Struthio camelus: one gene and its partner. The protein of the gene in region 2 purifies or fractionates together with the protein of the main gene of each other region. This does not show direct contact. Links are inferred from orthologs where the notes say so. Each region holds a gene or a part of one and is shown on either strand. Other genes may lie near its edges.

The links. The genes of interacting proteins can lie anywhere in the genome.
Region 1: the proteins of EEF1A2 (region 2) and VARS1 purify together in Homo sapiens (co-immunoprecipitation; 3 studies listed by BioGRID and IntAct, counting the BioPlex papers as one, with this or other methods). This does not show direct contact. The link is inferred for Struthio camelus from reciprocal best matches to the Homo sapiens genes EEF1A2 and VARS1.

What each region holds. Positions count from the first base shown.
Region 1 is NW_027182645.1:8,810-16,595, forward strand, and holds the start of VARS1 (valine--tRNA ligase), read left to right. Parts: upstream 1-4,774; 5' UTR 4,775-4,918; intron 4,919-5,882; 5' UTR 5,883-6,018; intron 6,019-6,093; 5' UTR 6,094-6,194; coding exon 6,195-6,239; intron 6,240-6,533; coding exon 6,534-6,627; intron 6,628-6,762; coding exon 6,763-6,863; intron 6,864-7,470; coding exon 7,471-7,598; intron 7,599-7,786. Other genes in the region: U6 snRNA-associated Sm-like protein LSm2, read left to right, coding at 673-675, 836-903, 1,816-1,846, 2,031-2,090, 2,487-2,612. UniProt on the Homo sapiens protein: Catalyzes the attachment of valine to tRNA(Val).
Region 2 is NC_090959.1:17,050,803-17,058,642, forward strand, and holds the start of EEF1A2 (elongation factor 1-alpha 2), read right to left. Parts: upstream 3,009-7,840; 5' UTR 1-3,008. UniProt on the Homo sapiens protein: Translation elongation factor that catalyzes the GTP-dependent binding of aminoacyl-tRNA (aa-tRNA) to the A-site of ribosomes during the elongation phase of protein synthesis.

The DNA.
Region 1 (7,786 bases), on a different chromosome or scaffold from region 2:
CCGTGACCCCCATGTCCCCGTGACCCCCATGTCCCCGTGACCCCCGTGTCCCCACCCCACGTCCCCCAGGTCCCCGTGTCCCCCGTGTCCCCGTGACCCCCGTGTCCCCACCCCACGTCCCCTGTGTCCCGCGTGTCCCCCTCCCGCGCCCGGTCGCTCGCGGCGGCCCCGCCCGGGCGGCGATGGGCGGGGGCGGGGGCGCGGCCGGACGCCGGGGCCCCTCCGACGCCTGGGCCCGCGGGCGGCGGCCTGGCCGGGTGCCGCGGGCGCCCCCGGGGGCGGGGCCAGACCAGCGATTCCGTTCGGGGGCGGGGCCAGGGCGGCGGGTCCGCCCCCGGGGGCGGGGCCAGACCAGCGATTCCGTTCGGGGGCGGGGCCAGGCCGGCGGGTCCGCCCCCGGGGCGGGGCCAGGGCGGCGATTCCGTTCGGGGGCGGGGCCAGGGCGGCGGGCTCCGCCCCTGGGGGCGGGGCCAGACCAGCGATTCCGTTCGGGGGCGGGGCCAGGCCGGCGGGTCCGCCCCCGGGGCGGGGCCAGACCAGCGATTCCGTTCGGGGGCGGGGCCAGGACGGCGGGTCCGCCCCCGGGGGCGGGGCCAGGGCGGCTGCTCCGCGCGCGGCGGAAGGGGGCGGGGCCTCGCCGGTTCCCTGGCGCGTGGGGCAGCGGCGGCCGCGATGGTCGGCGGGGCCGGGGGGCTCGTGGGGGGGCCCGGGGGGCTCGAGGGGGGGCCGGGAGCGCCGGGGGGGCCCGGGGGGGCGGGGCGGAGCGGGCCGCGGGGCCGGGGGCGGCGGCGGGCAGCAGCGGCCCCGCGCGACCCCCGTGTCCGTGTCCCCGCAGCTTTTCTACTCCTTCTTCAAGTCCCTCGTGGGCAAAGACGTCGTGGTGGAGCTCAAGAACGACCTCAGGTGAGGACCCCCCCCCACGGGGCCCAGGCGTCCGGCCTCCCACCCCCACGGGGACCCCGGCGTCCGGGACCCCCGCCACGGGGCCCAGGCGTCCGGGACCCACCCCCACGGGGGCCCAGGCGTCCGGCCTCCCACCCCCACGGGGACTCCGGCGTCCGGGACCCCCCCCACGGGGCCCAGGCGTCCGGGACCCACCCCCACGGGGGCTCCGGCGTCCGGCCTCCCACCCCCACGGGGACTCCGGCGTCCGGGACCCCCCCCACGGGGCACAGGCGTCCGGGACCCACCCCCACGGGGGTCCAGGCGTCCGGCCTCCCACCCCCACGGGGACTCCGGCGTCCGGGACCCCCCCCACGGGGCCCAGGCGTCCGGGAACCCCCCCACGGGGTCCAGACGTCCGGCCTCCCCCCCCCACGGGGACCCCGGCGTCCGGGACCCCCGCCACGGGGCCCAGGCGTCCGGCCTCCCCCCCCCACGGGGCCCAGGCGTCCGGCCTCCCCCCCCCACGGGGACCCCGGCGTCCGGGACCCCCGCCACGGGGCCCAGGCGTCCGGGACCCACCCCCACGGGGGCCCAGGCGTCCGGCCTCCCACCCCCACGGGGACTCCGGCATCCGGCCTCCCACCCCCACGGGGACTCCGGCGTCCGGGACCCCCCCCACGGGGCCCAGGCGTCTGGGAACCCCCCCACGGGGTCCAGACGTCCGGGAACCCCCCCCCACGGGGCCCAGGCGTCCGGCCTCCCACCCCTACAGGGCCCAGGCGTCCAGCCTCCCCCCCCCACGGGGACTCGGGCGTCCGGGACCCCCCCCACGGGGCCCAGGCGTCCGGGACCCCCCCCCCACGGGGCCCAGGCGTCCGGGACCCCCCCCCCACGGGGCCCAGGCGTCCGGGTAACTCTCTCTCCCCCCAGCATCTGCGGGACGCTGCACTCCGTGGACCAGGTGAGTGGGGCCAGGGGCCACGGGGGGGGAAGGGGGCTGCGGGGGTCCCGGGGGGGGGCTGGATCCCTCGGTGGGACGGGACCGGGGGGGCAGGTTGGGCCCACGGGGGTCTGTGGGGTGGAGGGGATCGTCGGGGGCAGGACCCTCGGGGTTCCCAGGCCGTGACCCCCCCGCGTCCCCGCAGTACCTGAACATCAAACTGACGGACATCAGCGTCACCGACCCCGAGAAGTACCCGCACATGGTAAGGCCCGGACGCCTGGGTCCCCCGGACGCCTGGGTCCCCCCCGGGCCCCAGACCCTCCGATGCCGGGGTCCCCCGGACGCCTGGGTCCCCCCCGGGCCGGCCGCGGTGCCCCAGGCCCTCCGATGCCGGGGTCCCCCGGACGCCTGGGTCCCCCCCGGGCCCCAGGCCCTCCGATGCCGGGGTCCCCCGGACGCCTGGGTCCCCCCCGGGCCGGCCGCGGTGCCCCAGGCCCTCCGATGCCGGGGTCTCCCGGACACCTGGGTCCCCCGGACACCTGGGCCCAACCACCCTGGACGCCTGGGTCCCCCCCGGGCCGGCCGCGGTGCCCCAGGCCCTCCGATGCCGGGGTCCCCCGGGGCCCCGCTGACGCCCGGACGCCTGGGTCCCCCGCAGCTGTCGGTGAAGAACTGCTTCATCCGGGGCTCGGTCGTGCGCTACGTGCAGCTCCCGGCCGACGAGGTCGACACGCAGCTGCTCCAGGACGCCGCCCGCAAGGAGGCCCTGCAGCAGAAGCAGTGAGCCCGGACGCCGGGGCCCCCCGGACGCCGGGGCCCCGTCACCCCCTCCCCGGCCCGGATGCCGGGGCCCCCACTCCGCTGCCCCCCGTTTCTCTACCTCACCCCGACGCCCTCCCCGAGACCCCCCTGCTCGCCCGGACGCCGGGGTTCACCGCTGCGCCCCAGCCCCGCGGGGGCCGGGGGGGTGAGCCCCGGCGTCCGGGCGGCGGCGGGGCGCAATAAACGCTGGTGACGGGCACCCGGACCTGGCTGTGTCGTGGCTGCGTCCCCGGACGCCGGGGTCCCTCGGGGGGGGGTTGGGGGGTCCCGGATGCCGGGGTCCCTGGTGGGAGGTTGGGGGGTCCCGGATGCCGGGGTCCCGGGTGGGGAGTTGGGGGGCCCTGGACTCCTGGGTGGGGGGAGGGTAACGTTCCCCGGACGCCTGGGTCCCTGGAAGGCGTTGGGGGGGGGGTCTCGGACGCCTGGGTCCCGGGTGGGGGGGGATTGGGGGTCCCCGGAGGACCCGGCTGTTCGCCCGCCGCCAGGGGTCGCCGGACGCGCTCCGTAACCCGCGGTGGCCGCTCTGCCCCGCCGAGCCGCACGGCTCTATGATCCGGGAGCCCGCCCCGCCCCCCTCCTCCCCCCCCCCCCCCGCACACACAGCGCTGACTGAGCCTGCGCAGCGGCAGCAGCCAATCCGGGAGCAGCCCGGGGCGCGGGGCGGGACGGGCGCATGCGCGGGGCGGGGGCAGGCGCTGGCGGCGCATGCGCGGTGCGCGCGGCTCCACGCGGTTCCCCACGCACCGGCAGCAGGTACCGACGGCGGCTCCGGGACCGCGCCGGCCCCGCCCCCTCCGCGCCCGCCGGCCCCGCCCCCTCCGGCCCCGCCCCCTCCGGCCCCGCCGCCGCCGCCGCCGCCGTCGCTCCGGCCCCGCCGCCGCTCCGGTTCCCGGTGCCGCCGGTGCCGCCTCCGCTGCCGCCTCCGCTGCCGCCCCCGGTGCCCCCGGTGCCCCCGGTGCCCCCCGCCCGCCGGCCCGGCGCGCGGCCATGGCGGCGCCGCGGCTCTTCCTGCGGCCGCCGCCCGAGGACGCGGCGGCGCAGCGGGTGCTGATCGCCGCCCGGTACGGCGGGGCGGCGGCGGCGCTGGAGCTGGAGCGGGTGGCGGCGGCGCCGGGCGCGGGCCCCGGGGCGCTGCCGGCGCTGCGGACGCCGGCGGGGCGGCTGCTGGCCGGGCCGGGCGCCGCCGCGCTCTTCCTCAGCCCGCCCGCGCTGCTGGGCCGCGGCGCCGCCGCCGCCGCCCTCGTGCGCCAGTGGGTGGCGTTCGCCGAGGCCGAGCTGCTGCCCGCCGCCGCCGTGGCCGCCCGCCGCCCGGGCGGGGAGGTGCGGGGCACCGGGGGCACCGGGGGCACCGGGGGGACCGGGGATGGGGGGGACTGGGGGGACTAGGGATGGGGGGACCGGGGGGACCGAGGGGACCGGGGATGGGGACACGGGGGGACCGGGGGGACCGGGGGGACCGGGGATGGGGACACGGGGGGACTGGGGATGGGGGGGACCGGGGGGACTGGGGGGACCAGGGATGGGGACCGGGGGGACTGGGGGGACCGGGGATGGGGACACGGGGGGACCGGGGGGACCGGGGATGGGGACACGGGGGGACTGGGGATGGGGACACGGGGGGACTGGGGATGGGGGGGACCGGGGGGACTGGGGGGACCAGGGATGGGGACACGGGGGGACCGGGGGGACTGGGGATGGGGGGGACAATGGGCACCGGGGGGGCACCCAGGCACCGGGTGGACCGAGCATGGGGGGGACCGAGGGGACGGAACATGGGGACACGGGGGGACCGGGGGGGACCGAACATGGGGGGGACAGTGGGCACCGGGGCACCGGGGGGACCGAGCATGGGGGGGACACGGGGCACCGGGGGGACCGAGCATGGGGGGGGACCGGGGGGGATGGGGGGCACTGAGGGGACCGAACATGGGGGGGACACGGGGGGCCAGCGGTGGGGGAGGAGACAGGGGACCGGGGGGACCGGGGATGGGGGGTCCGGGGGGACGACCAGAGACACGGGCTGGGGGGCTGGGGGGGGGCCGGGCAGGAGCCGGGACAGGACCCGGGGCCGGGGGGCCCCCGGGCGGAGCCTGGACCCACCCGGACGCCTGGGCCCGGCGGCAGACGGAGGAGCGGGCGCGGGCGGCGCTGCGGCGGGCGCTGGCGGCCCTGGACTCCCACCTGCGGCCGCGGACCTTCCTGGTGGGCGAGAGCGTGACGCTGGCCGACGTCACCGTCACCTGCGCCCTGCTGCTGCCCTTCCAGCGCGTGAGCTGCCAGTCCGCCCGGCCCCCGTCCTCCCCGCGTGCCCCCCGCGTCCCCCAGCGTGACCCCTGTGTCCCCACGCACCTCTGCCGGTCCCCGCGTGCCCCAGCACGGCTCTGCCTCACCGTCTCGCGTGCGCAGCCGTGTTCCCGCGGGCCACCGCGCCGGTCGGGTCCCCGTCCGGGTGTCCCCGTGCCGGTCGGGTCCCCGCGTCAGTCGGGTCCCCGTCCGGGTGTCCCCGTGCCGGTCGGGTCCCCACGCCGGTCGGGTCCCCGTCCGGGTGTCCCCGTGCCGGTCGGGTCCCCGCGTCAGTCGGGTCCCCGTCCGGGTGTCCCCGCGTCAGTCAGGTCCCCGCGTCGGTCGGGTCCCCGCGCCGGTCGGGTCCCTGTCTGGGTGTCCCCGTGCCGGTCGGGTCCCCGCGTCAGTCGGGTCCCCGTCCGGGTGTCCCCGTGCCGGTCGGGTCCCCGCGTCAGTCGGGTCCCTGTCCGGGTGTCCCCGCGTCAGTCAGGTCCCTGCGCCAGTCGGGTCCCTGTCTGGGTGTCCCCGCGCCGGTCGGGTCCCCGTCCGGGTCCCTGCGTTAGTGGATGTCCCCGCGCCGGTCGGATCCCCATCCGGGTGTCCCCGCGTTGGTGGGTGTCCCCGCGCCGGTCAGGTCCCCGTGTTGGTGGGTGTCCCCGTGCCGGTCGGGTCCCCGCGCCGGTTGGGTCCCTGTCCAGGTGTCCCCGTGTTGGTGGGTGTCCCCGTGCCGTTCGGGTCCCCGCGCCGGTCGGGTCCCTGTCTGGGTGTCCCCGTGTTGGTGGGTGTCCCCGCGCCGGTCGGGTCCCCGCGTTGGTGGGTGTCCCCGCGCCGGTCGGGTCCCTGTCTGGGTGTCCCCGTGTTGGTGGGTGTCCCCGCGCCGGTCGGGTCCCCGTCCGGGTGTCCCCGCGCCCGCGTGCCGGGGCCGACGGGCGTCCGTGTCGCCGCGCAGGTGCTGGGCCCGGCCGCCCGGGCCCCGTTCCCCCACGTGCTGCGCTGGTTCCTCACCTGCGTCCACCAGCCCCACTTCCAGGCGGTGCTGGGCCCCGTGGCGCTGTGCGGGGAGGGGGCCGCCGGCGCCCCCCTGGGTGAGTGGGGCTGGGCCGGGGGCTGCGGGGGGCCGGGGGAGCCGGGGCGCCGAGCCTGACCCTGCTGCCCCCCAGAGGAGCCTGAGGCCGTGGGGCCGGGCGCCGTGGGGCCGGGCGCCGCCCCCCCGGCCAAGAGCGCGTCGCAGCTGAAGAAGGAGGCGAAGAAGAGGGAGAAGATGGAGAAATTCCAGCAGAAGAAAGAGAAGAGCCAGCAGCAGGAGGTGGGCGCGGGCCCCACGGCGGAGCGGGGACGGGCCCCACGGCGGAGCGGGGACGGGCACCATGGTGGGACGGGGCCGGGGACGGGCCCCACGGCGGGACGGGCCCCACGGCGGAGCGGGGACGGGCACCATGGTGGGACGGGGACGGGCCCCACGGCGGAGTGGGCCCTATGGCAGAACGGGGACGGGCCCCATGGTGGGATAGGACCCGCGGCAGGTCGGGGCTGTGCCCCATGGCGGGGCCCAGGGCCGGCCCCATGGCGGGGGGGCGTCACCTGCGTGCCGGTCCCACAGAAGGCAGCAAAGGGGGAGAAGAAGGAGAAGAAGGAGCGGAAGGAGCTCGGGGTCGTCACCTACGACCGGGAGACGCCGCCGGGGGAGAAGAAGGGTGAGAGGGGCCGGGCTGGGGTGCGGGGGGGCAAATGTGGGGGGCGGAGGGGTGGGGGAAACGGGGCCGGGGGGGGAAGCGGGGCGGGGGGGACGTGTCGCGACGTGGCGCCCCGGCGCTGACGGGGCGGCGCAGACGTGAGCGGCCCCATGCCCGAGTCGTACAGCCCGCGGTACGTGGAGGCGGCCTGGTACCCGTGGTGGGAGCGCCAGGGCTTCTTCAAGCCCGAGTACGGGGTGAGTCGTGCGAACGTGCCCCGGGCGAGCGTGCGTCCTTACGTGAGGCCCCCGTTTCGGCATCCCCGCGTAATGCCCAGGGCGACGCGGCGGCCCTGTGCGAGGCCCTCGTGCGTGGCTCGTGCGCAGCCGTGCCCCCGTGCGGTTGCCCTGTCTGAAGCCCTCGTGCCCGGCGGAGCCCCGCGCACGCCCCTCGTGCGAGGCCCCGTGCCCGGCGGAGCCCTCGTGCGCGGGCGTGCCCCGTGCCCGGCGGAGCCCTCGTGCGCAGCCGTGCCCCGTGCCCGGCGGAGCCCTTGTGCGTGGCAGTGCCCCGTGCGAGGCCCCGTGCTCGGCCGGCGGAGCCCTCGTGCGTGGCAGTGCCCCGTGCGAGGCCCCGTGCGAGGCCCCGTGCGAGGCCCCGTGCCCGGCGGAGCCCTCGTGCACGGCCGTGCCCCGTGCGAGGCCCCGTGCGAGGCCCCGTGCGAGGCCCCGTGCCCGGCGGAGCCCTCGTGCGCGGCCGTGCCCCGTGCGAGGCCCCGTGCGAGGCCCCGTGCCCGGCGGAGCCCTCGTGCGCGGCCGTGCCCCGTGCGAGGCCCCGTGCGAGGCCCCGTGCCGTGCCGCCCCGCAGCGCGCCAGCCTGGCGCAGCCCAACCCGCGCGGCCTCTTCATGATGTGCCTCCCGCCGCCCAACGTCACCGGCTCGCTGCACCTCGGCCACGCGCTCACCGGCGCCATCCAGGACGCCCTGACCCGCTGGTGAGACCCGCGGCGCCCCCGGGCCCCCAGGGGTCTTGTGGGGCCCTTCCTGTACCCCCCCCCGGTCCCCCCAGGCCCCCTGCCCAATGGACTCCTGGGACCCCCTGAGCCCCCTCCCCCTGGAGCCCCTGGGCCCCCCTGGCCCCACAGCCCCTCTGGGCCCCCAGGGGTCTTGTGGGGCCCTTCCT
Region 2 (7,840 bases):
TGTGTAATGGGCCTCTTTTGTATCCTTTTTTTCTCCAGTAAAAATAGCTGGTTTGAATTTTTACCCTTTTCCCCAGACAGAAGAAAGAGAAATGAAGAGTGCATCTAGCAAACATTAAAAATAGCATGGCAGGTAACCACGCAGGACAAATTCATGAGAGCACTGGGGAGCCTAAGGCCAGCCAAACGCCGCCCAACTCAGACGCCCCTGAGAACCTGGCCGCTGTCCGAGCGCCGCTCGGGAGCGCAGGTGGATCATCCTTCCCGTACAGACATGTTTGCAGTTTCATGTCTGCTTTGGACAAGCAGGTTGTGCACCGTGGCGCCCAGTCTGCCTTGCTGGCACGTACGGAAACCGGGCCAGAGTCTACCCGTAGCGTGCATTTTATTTCTACAATGAAACAGAGCCTGACAGCCCATCAGACTATAAATAGTCCAGGGCACGGAAAGGATAGAGCGCCGTCAGACCTGGCTAATCCGGGCTAGGTTGAGCCACGCGATGCCCAGCCTCTGCGAGACTTAAAGTGATAGCCGTCTGCTGAGGTCCGCCGGCGTCTCGCGCGCCTTCCGGCTCCGGGGCAAAGGGTTTCAGGTCGAACACATTCGATCCTTTTGGATCATCAAGCACTTGGCATGGTTTCCACGCCAGAGGGGAACCACTTCCCCCCAATGCTTGACCAAGCATCTGAAAAATATTACTAATCTGTCTTTAAACCCTCAGCTATGCACAAAAAAAAATAAACCCGGACAGCCAAAATCTGGGGGCGGCTGGAAGTTTAGCGCCTTGTCTGCATCCATCTGGCTCGGGAACGGCTCCCGGTGGCGGGTGAAGCCGTTCCCATGCGTCCTCTTCAGTCTCTGGTACCCCCACCCTTCTTTTAGCCTAGCAAAAAGCCATCACCGAATGATTTGGGATCATTCGAGAAGACAGAGACTCCTCTCTGAAGGGCACCGCTGCCTGCGTGCTGCGGGCAAGGGCTGATGCCCACGCAGCGCCCGCGCCATGCCCAGGGCAGCGGCACCGGCTCCCGCCGACTCCGCAGCCCCCACCTTTGGGACTGATGCTTTAAGCTCTGCTAAAATTCACATTTGCCCAGGCATAATGAATGAGGTTTTTGGGGTTTTTTTTTCCCCCGGAAGGCCCCCTGCAGTTTGCATGGGAGAACGAGTAATCCGCAGCGTCTTAATTTGTATGTAACTGGGCTGTAAACATCGCAAGCTGCCTGTCTGAATTTGCCTTCTCGCCGGGGGTGTTTATTCCCATGAGTAATGCGTTCAGCTCGCCGAGCTGTTGCATTTTTGACTCTGCAAAATGCATCGCGTCTCAGTTTGAAGGCGGGGTTTTTTAGCAACGCAGGCGTTAGCCACAGGGGATGCCCGACCCGACAGCCTCCAGAAGCCCCGCTCTCGCCGACGGGGACGCTGGAGGCGCGATGGAGAAATGCCAGCGAACTGTCTCGAGGCCTGGACCAGAGACTCAGACTGCATGGCCACAACGGATGACCTCTTTGAGCATCTCCCGAGGGCAAAAGCTGCTATTTTCCTCCTCCTTGCCTTTCAAAGCAAGAGAGATACTTGCCTTGAAAAGAAGAAACGTGGGGCCTCATGCTGTTTTCTGCATCCCCATAAGCAACAGGCATCGGACCAGCCAGCAGAGGAGCTTGGGGAGGGAAGGGAAGGGATGAAGACTGTAAGGTTTCCGTCTTTGCATGATGGGGGTTTCGGCTCCCTCCACGCCAGCCCTGCCTTTGCACCCCGCCGTTGCAGCAGCTGTAGGTTACTGTGTGCCCAAACCAAGCGAGCTCAAAGCCCCACGAAACCAGCCGCCCACGGCTCTGCCACGTGGCGATTCCCAGCGCCGTGGCCGGTGCCGAGGGAAAGGGATTGGCCTTGGAGTAAGGTACCAGCTCTGAGGGGATGGATTCGCGGGTGTGATGCCTGGCGGATTTTGGTGCATGTTTACGCTGCTATTCAGGGCGGCTCGGACGTGGGCCAGACTTACTGCTCCTCAGGCCGAGGTGCCGGAGAGCAGAAGGCTTTCGGGGAGCGGGTCAGGCCTGGCAGCTCCGGGCGAGGGCAGCAGCGTTGGGCAGGCAGCGGCGGCGAAGGAGCGGGGCGGCAGCGGGGAACGGCCCAAGGCGCTGCAGCAGCACACGCTGCTGATCCCGCTAAACCACAGCCAGAGGTTTAAAAATAAACTTTGGAGGTGATGCCGAGACGGCCAAGCCCTCCAGCAGCCCAGCCGGCTGGGGACGGCGATCGCTGTCGCCCCTGTTCTCGGAGGGCTCCCGCAAGCTGCTGTGCCTGCCGTCCTCCTGGGCGCAGCGTCACCGCGCCGGACCGGGACGGGCAGAGGTGCCGGGACGGGCGAATCGCTCCAGCGGATGGGAAATTACAAGGCTGAGATAGGGCAAAGACGTGCCCCCTCCGGCATCCTTGTAGCTCGGCGAGCGAAGGTTTGGTGCCAGCCGGGGTGAGGGCAGCACACAGCAGCCCGATGGGCCCAATCCTGCGCTAGCGAGCGGGGATGCTGAGGGGCTGGAGGAGGGTTGGGAACGGCGTCTGCTTAGCAACTGAATCCGGCTCTCCAGGATGAAGCAGCCTAAAAATACCTCCAGACAACGAGGCCTTCGGCTCCGGCTTCCCTAGCTCATCCGGGATGATGGGGGGGTCCCAGTGCCGGGCCCCCGGTGCGGCGTGCGCTCTCGTGGGACAGTATCGCCTCGAGGCAGGGCTGGCTTAGGTTAACCGCCGCCGCGGGAAGGCTCCCGGCCCCGGAGCTCCCGGCGTGGGAGCGCACCAGAGCAAGGTGTCACTTGAGCAGCGTTTTAATAACGGCCGGGCATAGCGTGGCCGTGTCCCCAGCAAATCGCTTGCAGGAGGCTCTTGGCCAAAATTCAGCCAAGTTGGAAAGAGTGGTCTCAAAGGTAAAAACCACCCCGAAAGCAGCGCCGGAGCCCAGGCCGGCTCGCGCAGACCCTGCTCTGCCTGAAACGCCGACCCCGAGCCGTGCAAACCAGCCAGCACCAGATTACAAAATCAGCGGAGGTCTAAAGTCCTGCCCCTAGGAGCATTTCCCCACATCCAGCGCCGAAGCAGCTCGTCATCCAAACGCCTATTTCCTCTGACGACTTTAACTCCTTCTCCGCTCTTCACCTTCCCCTTTGCTATTATAATGTTGCCGCTCTGCTTCTTCGCGCTCCCTTGAGACGCGGTTGCCGCAAAAGAGGCTGCACAGAATACAATCCAGCTGCTCCGTCTGACCCGCTGTCGCTCCGAGGAGCAGCCAAGACAGGCACTTGTCCTCTGCGAAAACTTGCCTCTTGATACGGTAGTCTCGAATGCGTTGCTTTCGGGACGCCCCAGCAGTTTCGGCGCCTGGGCGAGCGGTGGACGTCACACCTGCAGCGGCCGGAGGAGCTGATCCTGTAAATCTCAGCGCGCGCCGAGACGGGGAGAGATCCCATCCCGGGGCGCCGCTTCGTTCCCCAGGCAGGGCAAGCAGCAGGGAGATAAGACGCCTCTGCCCTGTGGTTCAGTGCCATTTTCGGCATGCTGCACAGCACCGGACTGCACTGTTTGTACAGCGAGGGAGTCCGGGGCTGTATCAAGCTGCCGCCCGTCGCTGCGCTCGTTTGGAGAGCCCTTCACGTCCGCGAGGCAAGAAAAGCAATGCAAGGGGACAGCTTTTCTTATTAAACCGCGGCCACTGAGCTGAGAGAGCCCCACTGCCCGCATCTTCTCATCACCGTAGATGAAGGGCTGCTAATGGAAGCATCTGGCCAACAGCACAAGCTTCAGGCGCATCCAGAGGGAGACAGTAATGAGCAGACTCACTGCTGCGCTGACCCGCATCGAAACCTGCGGAATTACATTAGCCATCGATTTGTTTGCGTGCTTTGTATCACGGATTGGTAGCAAAATCGCACGCGCTCATCCTAGAAAGGAGGCACCGGCCTAACAGTTTTCTGTGGAAAGATAAATGCTGAGCAGCTCCTCCGCTGGTTTCTGCAAGGCAATTCCCAGATTTGCCCGGATTAGCACATTGCTTTACTGATTAGACACACACGTTGAACCGTCCCCTTCTGCGCACCGTCCTTCGACCCCAAGGCTTGGCCAAAGGAGCGGAGGGGTCAGCAGGTGGGAACTTGCTTGTGTAACCAAAATTTCTCTAGCGCCTGCTTTATCGCAGCAAGTAGTAGCTGCTAGCCAGACATCTCACGGCTTTTTCGAAGGGGGTTAAACAGACGCCCTGGTCGGACGAGCGACGCCGAGTCGCGCTCGCGTGGCTGACCCTCCGTTACGCCGCCTTGGATGCTCCGTGTCTCCTCACCGCTTGCCCCGGATCGGAGGCTTAAGTTTTTGGCGCAAGCGAACGAAGCAGCCTGGGACTCGCTACGGGCTGCACTCGGGAGACGTGCGTGGTGCAAGGGGGACCCTGGCCCGCGCTCGGCCCGCGGCCGGACACGCTGGGCGCCCGCCAGGCGCCGGAGGGGAGCGTGGCCCTGCGCGGCCAGGAGGCTCCCGCCGGTGCCCACCCTCCCGTTTCCCATTCAGCCGAGCACCCGGGCTGAACATCGAGGCTAATTTATATCCATAGGTGGCAGCAGCTGCCCGCGCTGCATGGTGACCCGGCTCCTGGGCGATGCCACCTCCGGGCAGCCCCGTGGGAGGTTTATACCGGCTGTTTCTGGTTTTTTTTTTTTGGGGGGGGGGGGAGATGGAGCTGATTTTGCAGCAGGCTGGAGGCGGCGATGCAGCGAGGCGGGAGCGCTGGGCCGACGGCGGCGGCGTCCGCCCGTGGGGTCCCCTCCGGAGAGCGCAGCCCGTGTAACAGCGGGGTTTAAGTGATGCCATGTGCAAGCGAAGGAGTTGAAAACTTTCCTTTAGCCTCGCGGAAGGCAAGGGGAGGCTGCTGTGTAGCGGGGTGCGCGCCGCGCAGCGGGCCGCGGCACGCGGCAAGGACGCGGGGCTTCGTCCTCAGGATGCTCTGCGGGAACCCTTGACTCCTCTTTTCAAGTCACTTAGTTCAGACAGAAAAGCTATTTTTCTTCCCGCTGAGAGCCGAGATACTTCCCTCCCGCCGTGAATCCCCAACCGGAGGCTCTAAGGGGCTCCTAACATCCTTCCCGTTGGGGTCTTAAAGGAGAGAAAAAAACACCGAAACGGTGCTCAGAAGCCAGCTGTAAAGAGAGCGGCAGTAAACTCGGAGGCTCTCATTAGAGGAAAAGCGCAGCGAAAATCCGTCCAAATCTTGTCATCCGTCCGCTTTTAAAACGATTGATTCTCGACCGGTTACAAATGAAATGTATCTTCGTCTCCTGAACGTGCCCGGCGCAGGCTTCGTCCCAGGAACTCAAACTGGATTCTTGCCGTCAGCACTGTGATTCCTCCCTGGCTGCTCCGAAGCACCCAAATTTTAGGCTATTTTTTTCATTCTAGGTCAGATAAATTTCTCGAGACCCGAGCGCCGAGGCCCTCTGGGGTCTGAAGTTTGGAGCTGGGACCGATGCTTCCAGCATTTTAGCGATATTTTATTTAGCAGTATGTTTTTATTTATATAGCGTACTGTACTGGTGTCCAAGCGTCGAGGAGCGGTGCTTCAGCGCTGGAGGTGCCTAGGCCTTGTTGCAGGCTGCTTCTTCTCAAACAAGCCTTTCTTATATGAAACTAATACAACCGACGCAGTTCAGTATCCCTTCAAGCTTTATTTATTTATTTTTTTGATTAATTTGAAATGTGGTTGAGTCCGGTATATTTTGCTTGAAATTTTTAAAATCTTTTTCTCCCACGAAATTTCAAATATTGAACTGTGCTAGGGTTTTTTTTTTTTTGTCTTTTTTTCCCCTTGGTTCTGCAGAGCAAGCATTTCGTGAGAAAGGCTGTCTTGGCTCTCTCTTAATGCCGCGTTACATAAGATGGTCATTAGATAGCTTGTTTGTTGTTGGCACTATATTTTCGCTAAATATTAACAAAGTACTGAAACGGCATCATCACACATTTAAATTCTTCAACTTTCTAGGGCTGGCAGTATTTGTAGGCTGCATTTTAACATTTAACTTCCAATGCTAAATTTTAACTTAAGGTTTTCTTTTTTTGTATATGTGTGTGTATATATAGATTTACGTGCATACATATATGTATATATGTTTTTGTTTTGCTTCCTCCTGTTTTGGCTAGGACAAGAGCAACCCCAGCAAACCGCGCATTGGGGAGGGAGGGGGGCACATGCAGCGAGAGCAGATTTCCAGAGAGAGCATCTTTAATGAACCTCGGTTCGAGGCAGTTTTTAATTTGCTCGGGTTTTTTTTGCATTAAAGCCGCCCCTTGCGGCCGCCCGCCCGCCGGGTGCTCGGCGCTGCGCACAGACCCCGCGCGGGTGGGGGGAGAGGGGGCGGAGCCCCGCCATCCCGCCCCTCCCAGGGAAGGGGCGGTGCTTCGCGACCCGGAGTCCCATTGGCGGAGATGCGTCGCGTGGGCGGGGCCAGAGGGGATATAAAGAGCGCGGCTGGGGCGGGGCCGGCAGCGCTGCGTCGGGGTCCGTGCGGAGCGGACGCGCACGCCAGCGCTCCCCGGGCGGCGGCGGCGCCGCCGCCGAGGGCCCCGCGGCCCTAGCGCCGTCGCCTCGCTGTCACCTCGCCTCGCCCCCTACCCAGGTGCGCGGGGGGGTCGGGGCGTTGCTGGGGGGTTCTGGGCGCTGCGCACTGTGCTGGGGGTGCTCGGTGCTGCATGCTGTGCTCGGCGTCGCTGGGGGTGCCCGGCGCTGCATGCGGTGCTGGGGGCTGCTCAGGGTGTCCGGCGCTGCCCATCTCGCCCCTGCAAAGCAGGCAGCGCCGTGCACGGTCCGGGGAGCGAGAGCACCCACTGCCTCTGCCCCTCCCGGTGGGGGTTTGGCTCCGGGCCCAGCGCCCTTCGGGGCACACCGAGCTGGGGGCTCATGTCCCGCCACGGTTTGGGCAACTCGGGGCGCCTGGCGATGGTGGGGTTTCGCCTGTGCGCTGGGCTTGACTGCCCGTGCCTCAGTTTCCCACCTCGATTAAGGCCAAGGCTGCTGGTGTGCTTGCAGCCCGGGGACCACGTGCCAGCCCGTGGGGACACAAGTGTGTGGAAGCATTGAGCAGCAGGAAGCCCCCAGAGTGGGTCATCCTTAGAGGAAAGCCTCATCTGGAGTGTGGGAAGGCTTGAACTGGCGCTTTGCGGAGGTGGCAGGGCCGCTGGCTCATCCCCGCTTCGCCCAGCCCGCGGCCGCTGGTGCGAAAGCGACCGCAGCAGGGAGGCGACGTGCCCCGAGCATCGCGAGGGCGGCGGCTGGGGCCGTTTGCAGGCGGCCCAAAACGCGGTAGCCCAGGCAGGCGGTTTTGGGGCGCGTGCCGGCGGTCTCGTGAGCGTCGTCGCACTGTCGCTCGCCTTGGCGGCCGCGTGCGTTTGGCTGCCGGAGGGGCTGCTCGCTTCGCCTGTCCCCAGGAACGCCGAAAGCAAGCACCCGCGCCGGCGCTGCAGGCTGGGGCACGCCAGCACCCCGCGCTCCCATGCACAGCCCTATCTCTACCTGCTGGATTGCGCAGCGTGCCCGACTCGATCGCTTCTGCTCGGAGGCAGCCGGCACCCGAATATTGCTGCGTGCAATAAGCAGTGTTTCACCCCTTGTGCCCATCGCGCCCCCCCCCCCCATTAATGCCAGCAGAGAGGTGGGGAGTTGCCGCTGCCTGGGGGCTGCCGTGCGCGGAGCCCCCCCTCCCGCGGGCGCCGGTGGAGACCTGCCCACCCACCCGGGCAACGCGCTCCTCCGCTTATGCAACGTCCTCTGGCGACTTCATGGCTCTGGGTTGTTGATGCAGCGC